Linked DNA regions of Oryctolagus cuniculus. The protein of the gene in region 2 purifies or fractionates together with the protein of the main gene of each other region. This does not show direct contact. Links are inferred from orthologs where the notes say so. Each region holds a gene or a part of one and is shown on either strand. Other genes may lie near its edges.

Evidence for each region.
Region 1: the proteins of DUSP8 (region 2) and MAPK8 purify together in Homo sapiens (affinity purification with mass spectrometry; 3 studies listed by BioGRID and IntAct, counting the BioPlex papers as one, with this or other methods). This does not show direct contact. The link is inferred for Oryctolagus cuniculus from reciprocal best matches to the Homo sapiens genes DUSP8 and MAPK8.

What each region holds. Positions count from the first base shown.
Region 1 is NC_091446.1:81,421,326-81,425,138, reverse strand, and holds part of MAPK8 (mitogen-activated protein kinase 8), read right to left. Parts: intron 3,593-3,813; coding exon 3,521-3,592; intron 2,216-3,520; coding exon 2,033-2,215; intron 1,740-2,032; coding exon 1,615-1,739; intron 1,090-1,614; coding exon 1,026-1,089; intron 1-1,025. UniProt on the Homo sapiens protein: Serine/threonine-protein kinase involved in various processes such as cell proliferation, differentiation, migration, transformation and programmed cell death.
Region 2 is NC_091432.1:1,916,352-1,920,164, forward strand, and holds part of DUSP8 (dual specificity protein phosphatase 8), read left to right. Parts: exon of another isoform or gene 1-1,366; intron 1,367-1,691; 5' UTR 1,692-1,773; coding exon 1,774-2,004; intron 2,005-3,354; coding exon 3,355-3,493; intron 3,494-3,813. UniProt on the Homo sapiens protein: Has phosphatase activity with synthetic phosphatase substrates and negatively regulates mitogen-activated protein kinase activity, presumably by catalysing their dephosphorylation.

The DNA.
Region 1 (3,813 bases), on a different chromosome or scaffold from region 2:
TAAGAAGAAAGAATCAAATTCATTCTTCCCAAAGTAAATTTACAGATGGGTTACCTGTTCAGGTTTACACCTCCCAGTCCCTTCTGCTTTCCCAGCATTCGATAATCATTTCCTAATAATAGGCCTACTGCCTTCACTGAAGATAAGGTGGAAAACAGTGATTTGCCCTAAGTTGCACAATTAGAAAAGCAGTTAAAACACCAAATGACAAACAATATAAACGCGGTAAATGGGATCTAAAAATTAGCTAGCCCAAATGTTCCAAATCTTTAGAAGAATTAATATTTGCATGACTATCAACTACAGTCATACAACAGAAAAGATTACTATACTATTAATTTCTTAATCTGTTAGCATTCTGTTGAAAAGGGAGGGGGAACCACTGACTGACACTTAGCTATATGATACAACTAAAATTTTTGTGGGGATTAGTTAGAAATAACTGAAAAATATCCTTTGACACAGCACATTTCCTGGAATGTTTCTTAAAGGCCTATTCTCGCATGTGCACAGGAATACTGTAGAGTTGTCTATCAATGTAATAGACTAGACTCAATGAAAATGCTCTTCAAGAGGCAGCTGGATATAGAAATTGTGATACATCACAGAGCAGAACCAAATGGGGCAGTCACATGAACCGAGAAACACCTTCAAGATGTATGATTATTGCAACAAGGCAAGTGTGCATAGTACACATAGTGTAGAACAATCTGTGACTTACAAACGGTAGGAGAAGGGAGAGGGCATACACCAAATACAGCTGCATTTTTACAGACTAAGGAAAAATTCAAGAGAAACACTAATGTGTATTTGTGTTTGGGTAGAGAACTTGGAAAATTAAAATTTGGTCAGTGAGAGAAAGGGACATACTTTCCACTGTTGTAAAAACATTAGGTATCATATTATCAATAAATACCAGTTATGAATAATGGAAAAATATCATTAATTTCCCTAACATGATGAACAAATCACATTTCAAAGAGGCAGAAGCTCTTTCAATTTTCTAAGAATCTGATAAATGTTACCTTTCCATTCTTCTATCGTGTGTTCCCTTTCGTCTAACTGTTTGTCAGGAATCTTTGGTGGTGGCTGGAAAACACAAAGCAACAATAATGGAGACAGTTTATTGGGAGTATTATCAATCAGACAGGAGACTTGTAAAAATGCACCATTAGACCAAGACTGATCAATCGTCAACAACCTTCTTATATATATAGACAGACCAGTTTTGGAAGATTCCTTCACTGCAGAAAGAATGATGCTTATCTTTTGCTCCAGCTTTTGACTTTGTTGCACATTTATATCACAGAACTTTGCAAGGCTTTGGATAAGATAATTTTTTTCTAAGGTAAGACGTTTCCCAGAGCATTCAATATCCTAGCCTCTCTGTCCCTCTGATCAGGTATCAAGGCAAGAAATACTAGGGGGTGACTTGATTTTGTATAGGTGTGGCTTGGACATGACCTTAGCTTAAGGCGCTCTTCATGTAAAAATAGAAAACACCATTATAACATTCCTATTTTTTTACTTAAAAGTACAAGGTCTCCTGCAAATGTAACTTAATGCCAACTCTAAAAATGCAGCATATTCTTCAAACATTAAGAAAGAACTTACGGCTTCTGCTTCAGAGGGATCGTACCAGACATTGATGTATGGGTGCTGGAGAGCTTCGTCTACAGAGATCCTCTTAGATGCATCTATCACCAGCATTTTAGAGAGCAAATCCCTTGCCTGACTGGCTGTAAACATAATGATGTTACCATGCTTGTACTCAGAAAGGTTCTCAATTTATCAATAAATTTTCAGAAACCTGATATTATCTTTTATTTTAAAAGCCTATGTTTTAAAAACAATAAATTTTACTATAGCATCAGGTCATACATAGGATTAGAAATATAAAATTAAAGATAAAAATAACTAAAACCTCACTTCATCCCACCATCCACAGATAACCTTGGGTTTATGTCCCATAAGAATATGAATACGCACACACCCCACACATGAAATGGGACGACATGTTTGTAAAAAGTACCTTTAAGCTTGTTGTGTTCCGAGTCAGCTGGGAAAAGCACATCGGGGAAGAGCCTCTCAAAGCTATATCCGGCATACTTAGGTCTGTTTTCCACGTAAGTCCTTACTGTTGGTTGTAGTTTCTTCATGAACTCAGGACATGGTGTTCCCAGCTGTTCAATAACTTTATTCCACTGATCAATATCTAATATCAAGTAGCTAAGAAAAATACTCTGTATCTAATGTTCGACACATTAGTTATATCCACATTAAAATACAAGAAAATGGAAATTTCTAAAATCCCAAGAAAGAATGTGGCGGTTATAAATTTTGTATCTCACAGCCACCTTGCAAAAGGCACTGACGGTAGGTGACAGAAACGATCAGTGAATGAGCTCTGCCGACCCTGTTGACTGTGTGTGTGTCTGTGTGTGTACAGACTGATTTCACCATAAAAGCAGAAGCTGAACCTGACCACACTGTAAACATTAATTATAAGTAACTCAAACAAAAAACTCATGGTTATTACTATCCACTGGGATTCTAAATGTAAACTATACATAATTTTAACATACAAAATTGCCATTTTCTTCTAAATTATCAGAAAATTTGAATGCATTTCCTAGAGAATAAGAAATATTTCTACAATCTGTTTTGCCTTTGAGTTTTCCACACCAAGAGAGAATAATCAGTAGCAAGAAAAATTGTGGCTTTGATAAAAGCGGCATTTTCCTTTGCCATTCTTTATTTATCCGATGTTAATTTTCTGTAAAGTTCTGAAACTTATGAAACAGATCCGCAACTTCAATAAATTTTAAGGTTAGGATTCCCTGTTTTCCTTTTTCCTAGCTTTTACAGAATTCCAAGACCCTGAAGTCCTCATTCTAAAACTCAAAGTGACCTTTCTCATTCTTCCTCCCTAAAGAATTCTAAGCATTACCAGTTAACAAAAACTTAAGAGATCAGTGTTAATATGAATATGGAAAGCAGTCAGATGAACAAAAAGCATGAACCAAAATTTAACCACCACCACATAAAACTACTGCTGCTGAAATTCTCAGATGAAAGAATCAGTATGTTGAGTGATGAGACAACAATCAAAAAACACAAATACACACAGTAACAAAAAGTGTGGGGGGGAACAGACAAAACAGAAGGATGGCCAGATGCAACAGATAATTCCAAAATTCATATTAAGTTGTAGGTGTTTTTAGACTTACTCAAGTGTATTATTAGAAATTTTTAATGCAAGCCATGACTTTTGATTTAGTTCAATAAATCAACTCAAAGCCAGCCAGTAATTATGGGTGATTACACTTGAGCAGGTTTCAGTATTAACTTATGAAACAATCAATGAGGGAAAGGAGAAGTCTATGCCAATAGCAGGTGGTATTTTGAAAGAATAATTTAACAATGCTTATATTAGGGAGAGACAGATGCATTATACCTGACCCAGCTGTCATACATTTTGACCTTTAGAAACTACACTTTAGGCCAAAGATAAGGATACGATCTGTACCTGGGAACAAAACACCACCTTTGATCATTTCTCCCATGATGCACCCAACTGACCAAATGTCAACTGAAAACAAAATGCAATGACATTAACATAAAGATTTTGGTTAAAATAAAAAAAAATAAACATTAAAAAAAAGTCACGCACACCATGTATACTTTCAAATTATAAAAAGCAGTATAAAATAAAAATGAGTGACAGTGAATGTGCTCTGACTACCAGCAGAGACTGTATGTCCTGCTGCCAGATGCAGCCTATGAATATTTCAGTTTCTTATCAACAATTTT
Region 2 (3,813 bases):
TGCCCACTGCAGAGGATCCTGCTGGCGGCTGCAGCCGCAGGAGCAGCCGTTGCCTGGTGCCTCTGCTGTTGCCATGGCGACAACGGAGGTGCTAACTTGCTAATGAGTCCCCTCGGCTGCAAATAACAATACTAGGGTGGTTAATAGGGCCACGTTCCAGCGCGAGTGTTCCTGGGGAGGCAGGGCCAGCCAGGTACGAGGCCCCAGAGCCAGTCCTCCCGCCCCCCTGCAGCCCCTGCCCCCAGCCTGCCTTGTCGCTAGGGCTCAGGTGCCCCCCTCCGCTGGCCTCGATGCCCATCGGTAGATCTGCACCCACGTCGGGCAGTGTGGATGCCAGGCCCTGTGCTGGGGGTCCTGCTGGCTTCTGTTTGAGCTGAGGGACAACCTACCCACTTAGCAGATGAGCACATTGAGGCTTTGGCTCCCTGGTGTCCCCTCCCCACTATGGCTCTCTCAGGTGCTGGGCAGGGGTGGGGGTGTGGAGGGCAAGTGGCTGTGGCCTGTCACCACTTCCAGGAGTCACCTCACTGGGCAGGGACCCCCTCAGGGCAGAGATGCCCAGGGCAGGCAGGGACCCCTCAGTGGACCGGGAGCCCCTTGTAGGTGCAGCCTGGAGGGCAAGTGTCTGGGAACCGACCCCTAATCCTTGCCCACCGCTCAGAAGTGCCACGTTCCTCAGTAGATTTACCCTGTCTCACTGGCCCACGGGGCAGCAGGAGGCACCCCAGGCTACAGGGGAGGTGGCGGGGACTGGACACAGAGACCCCAGCAGGCGAGCAGAGGGGCCGGGGCTCACCGCGCGGAGGGGCTGGGAGCTGCCCCAGCAGTGGGCAGGGCATGCCGACCTGGGGTCAGCTGCATCATGGCTGCTATGGGTGACATGTGGACATTGTGTTTCTCCTACTGCTGCCTTGAGCCTCAGTTTCCCGTAGTTAATTCAAACTGTGTCTCCTTGGGGGCTGTGAGGCTCGGGTGGGCCTAGAGCAAGGCCAGTCCTGGCAAGTGGTGGGGAGCTTGGGCCCTGCAGGGGCGGGGGCGCAGGGGCTGCCAGGGGCCCCAGATACCAAGCTTCCTCCTACTTCCTCCATGCACCCCTTAGCCTGAGGGTGTCTGAAGCCATCTGAAAGCCCCGGCACCCCAAGCATCCCAGGTACACTGACCTTGGTCCTAAGGCTGCCCTCACTCTGTGAGGCAGGAGTGGCCCCCATCACAGTGCCCAGCCCTCCCACCCTCCTCCAGGAGCCCGTCAGTCCAGTCCCCACTGTGACCAGGATTATCGGCTTAGGTCAGCCGCTGTGCACACTAGGCTGGTGGTGGGGAGCAGGGGAGATGCCGAGGCGGGGAGAGGCAGGTTGGAGTGCGACAGGCAAGTTCTCTGCTTTGCCAGGGGCCCTGGGAAGCCTCGGAACCAGAGAAGGGAGAGGGCTGCATCCAGGTGTGGATGAGCCGTCCTGGAACTGTCAGTCAGTGAGCCCCAGGGCCCCGTGGAAGCTCCCCCTGGCCCGACCCGGCCTGAGACCACCCACCTGGCCCCGCCGTGTCCTGCTGAGAGGCCTGCAGGATAGCTGGGCAGGGCTCCCACGGACCCTCCCAATGCGATGAGGCCTCAGGTCACACTCGGGGAGGGGGGCCCCTGACACTGGTGCATCCCTGGAGCCCCGGGAGCTCTGACCGCCCTCTTCTCCCCTCAGGTCTGCTGCCATGCGCTAGGGCACTCGGGACGCGAGGCCACACCCTCCTCACTCCGGGGGTCAGCCTGCCCACTGCCCCACCATGGCCGGGGACCGGCTCCCGAGGAAGGTGATGGACGCCAGGAAGCTGGCCAGCCTGCTGCGGGGCGGGCCCGGGGGGCCCCTGGTCATCGACAGCCGCTCCTTCGTGGAATACAACAGTTGCCACGTGCTCAGCTCCGTGAACATCTGCTGCTCCAAGCTGGTGAAGCGGCGGCTGCAGCAGGGCAAGGTGACGATCGCCGAGCTCATCCAGCCGGCCGTGCGCAGCCAGGTACCCGGCCGTGGCCGCACCGGAGTCCACAGCTGAACGGGGGCCTGGGACCAGGCAGCGAAGCCGGGCTCCAGGATGTCACTGGGGAACCTTGCCCCCACTCCCCACGTGCTCCTCAGCACTGCAAGGTGTCTCCTCCAGGGAGGCCCTCCTGCCGCATCTCCCCAGCCCCCTCTTTCCTGAGCCTGCTGACCCCACCTGGGGGTCCCGGGCTCCCCGAGTTTGCCTCCAAACACCCAAGGCAGGTCGGTGCCCCCAAGGCCCAAACAGGGCTCAGAAAGGAGCCTGCTGAGTAGAGGGAGGTGGGACCACGCAGGGGTACAGCTGGACGCAGCTGCTCTGACCTGTGAGGACAGGGTGGGGGGCTGGCAAGGGGACTGCAGTCTTTAGGGAACATTGTCCCAGCTCGTTCCTCCCCAGGACCGCCCAGCTAAGGGGGCCAGGAGGCCGGGGCCGGGGACCCGTGCAGGTGCCCCCCCCCAGGCCTCCGGCGGGGCACGGGGCACATGTGGCAGCCCGGGACCTGGTCCCAGGTGGGACGGTGCATTTGGCTGTGCCCCCACTCCAAGCCACAGCAGGCTCCCTGCCGCTCCAGTGGGGGGAATCTGGTGATTAATCACCCCCAGCGAGGACTCCAGGCCGGAGTGTGAGCCTATTGGCTGCTGGTGACATCATCCAGCCCGGGTTGGCGGCTCAGCTGGCTTAAGGGCTGAGTGTGCTGGGGTGGGGAGGGGGGGTGGCCGCTGCTCTCTGAGCAAAAGCCGCTTAACATCTGGCCCCATGGCCCCTCCCTCAGAGTGGGGGAGGGGAGGAGGAACCCCAGCCTCCAGCTGCTGCCTCCGGAGTGGGGGTGGGAGACACTCCTGCTGCAGCCCTCAGGGTCTCCACGGGGCTGAGGAGGGAAGGAGAGGCCCAGCAGCTCCAGCGAGACCCCCACCCAAAAGACTTGCCCAACTCCTCTGCCTGTGCCCAGGCCCCGGCCATGTGCCCTGTCACTCTTGGTGCCCAGCAGGTGCACCCCCCCCCAGCCATCACCTGCATCTGCTTGACGCCAGCCTGGCCACAGGGGACACACGTGTCCCCCCTCCCCTGTGTGGCTGGAGAGGGCACGAGCCCTCTCTGTGCCTCCCCGACCCTGTGGCTATCTGTGTGGGCCTGGACATTTATACCTATCCAGGTGTGAGCACACCTGTGCCCCCAGCAGGCAGAGAGTGTGTGGGCGTGGGCAGGGCACCTGCCATCCCCTCAGGCAGCAGCCCTTTCTTTGGGCAGGGGTGGGTGGGTGGCAGCAGGGGGCTGGGCTGTCAGACAGGTGCAGGCAGCCCTGACCGCTGCCCTCACGGCCCCCAGGTAGAGGCCGCGGAGCCGCAGGACGTGGTGGTCTATGACCAGAGCACGCGGGACGCCAGCGTGCTGGCCGCCGACAGCTTCCTCTCCATCCTGCTCAGCAAGCTGGACGGCTGCTTTGACAGCGTGGCCATCCTCACAGGTGAGCTCCGGGGAGCCTCCCTCTCCGCAGCCCCCTTGCAGCGTGGCAGGGCCCGAGGGCGTCTGCGGAGGCCACGTCTGTAGGGGCCCAGGCAGGAGAGCAGGGGGATCCCTGAGAATGACTCGCTTGTGCAGGGGCGAGCGACCGGGAGAGACCCTCTCTGGGAACCCCCTGTGAGCTGGGACCGGTCCCACCCTGCTGCCCAGGGGCCAGTACAGGGCTCCAGGGTCTACACATGGCCTGGCCAGCCAGCCCCCCCACACGTCCATGGAATCCCCTCCTGGAGGTGGCCCAGGTCCCAGGGACACACCTCCTCCCCC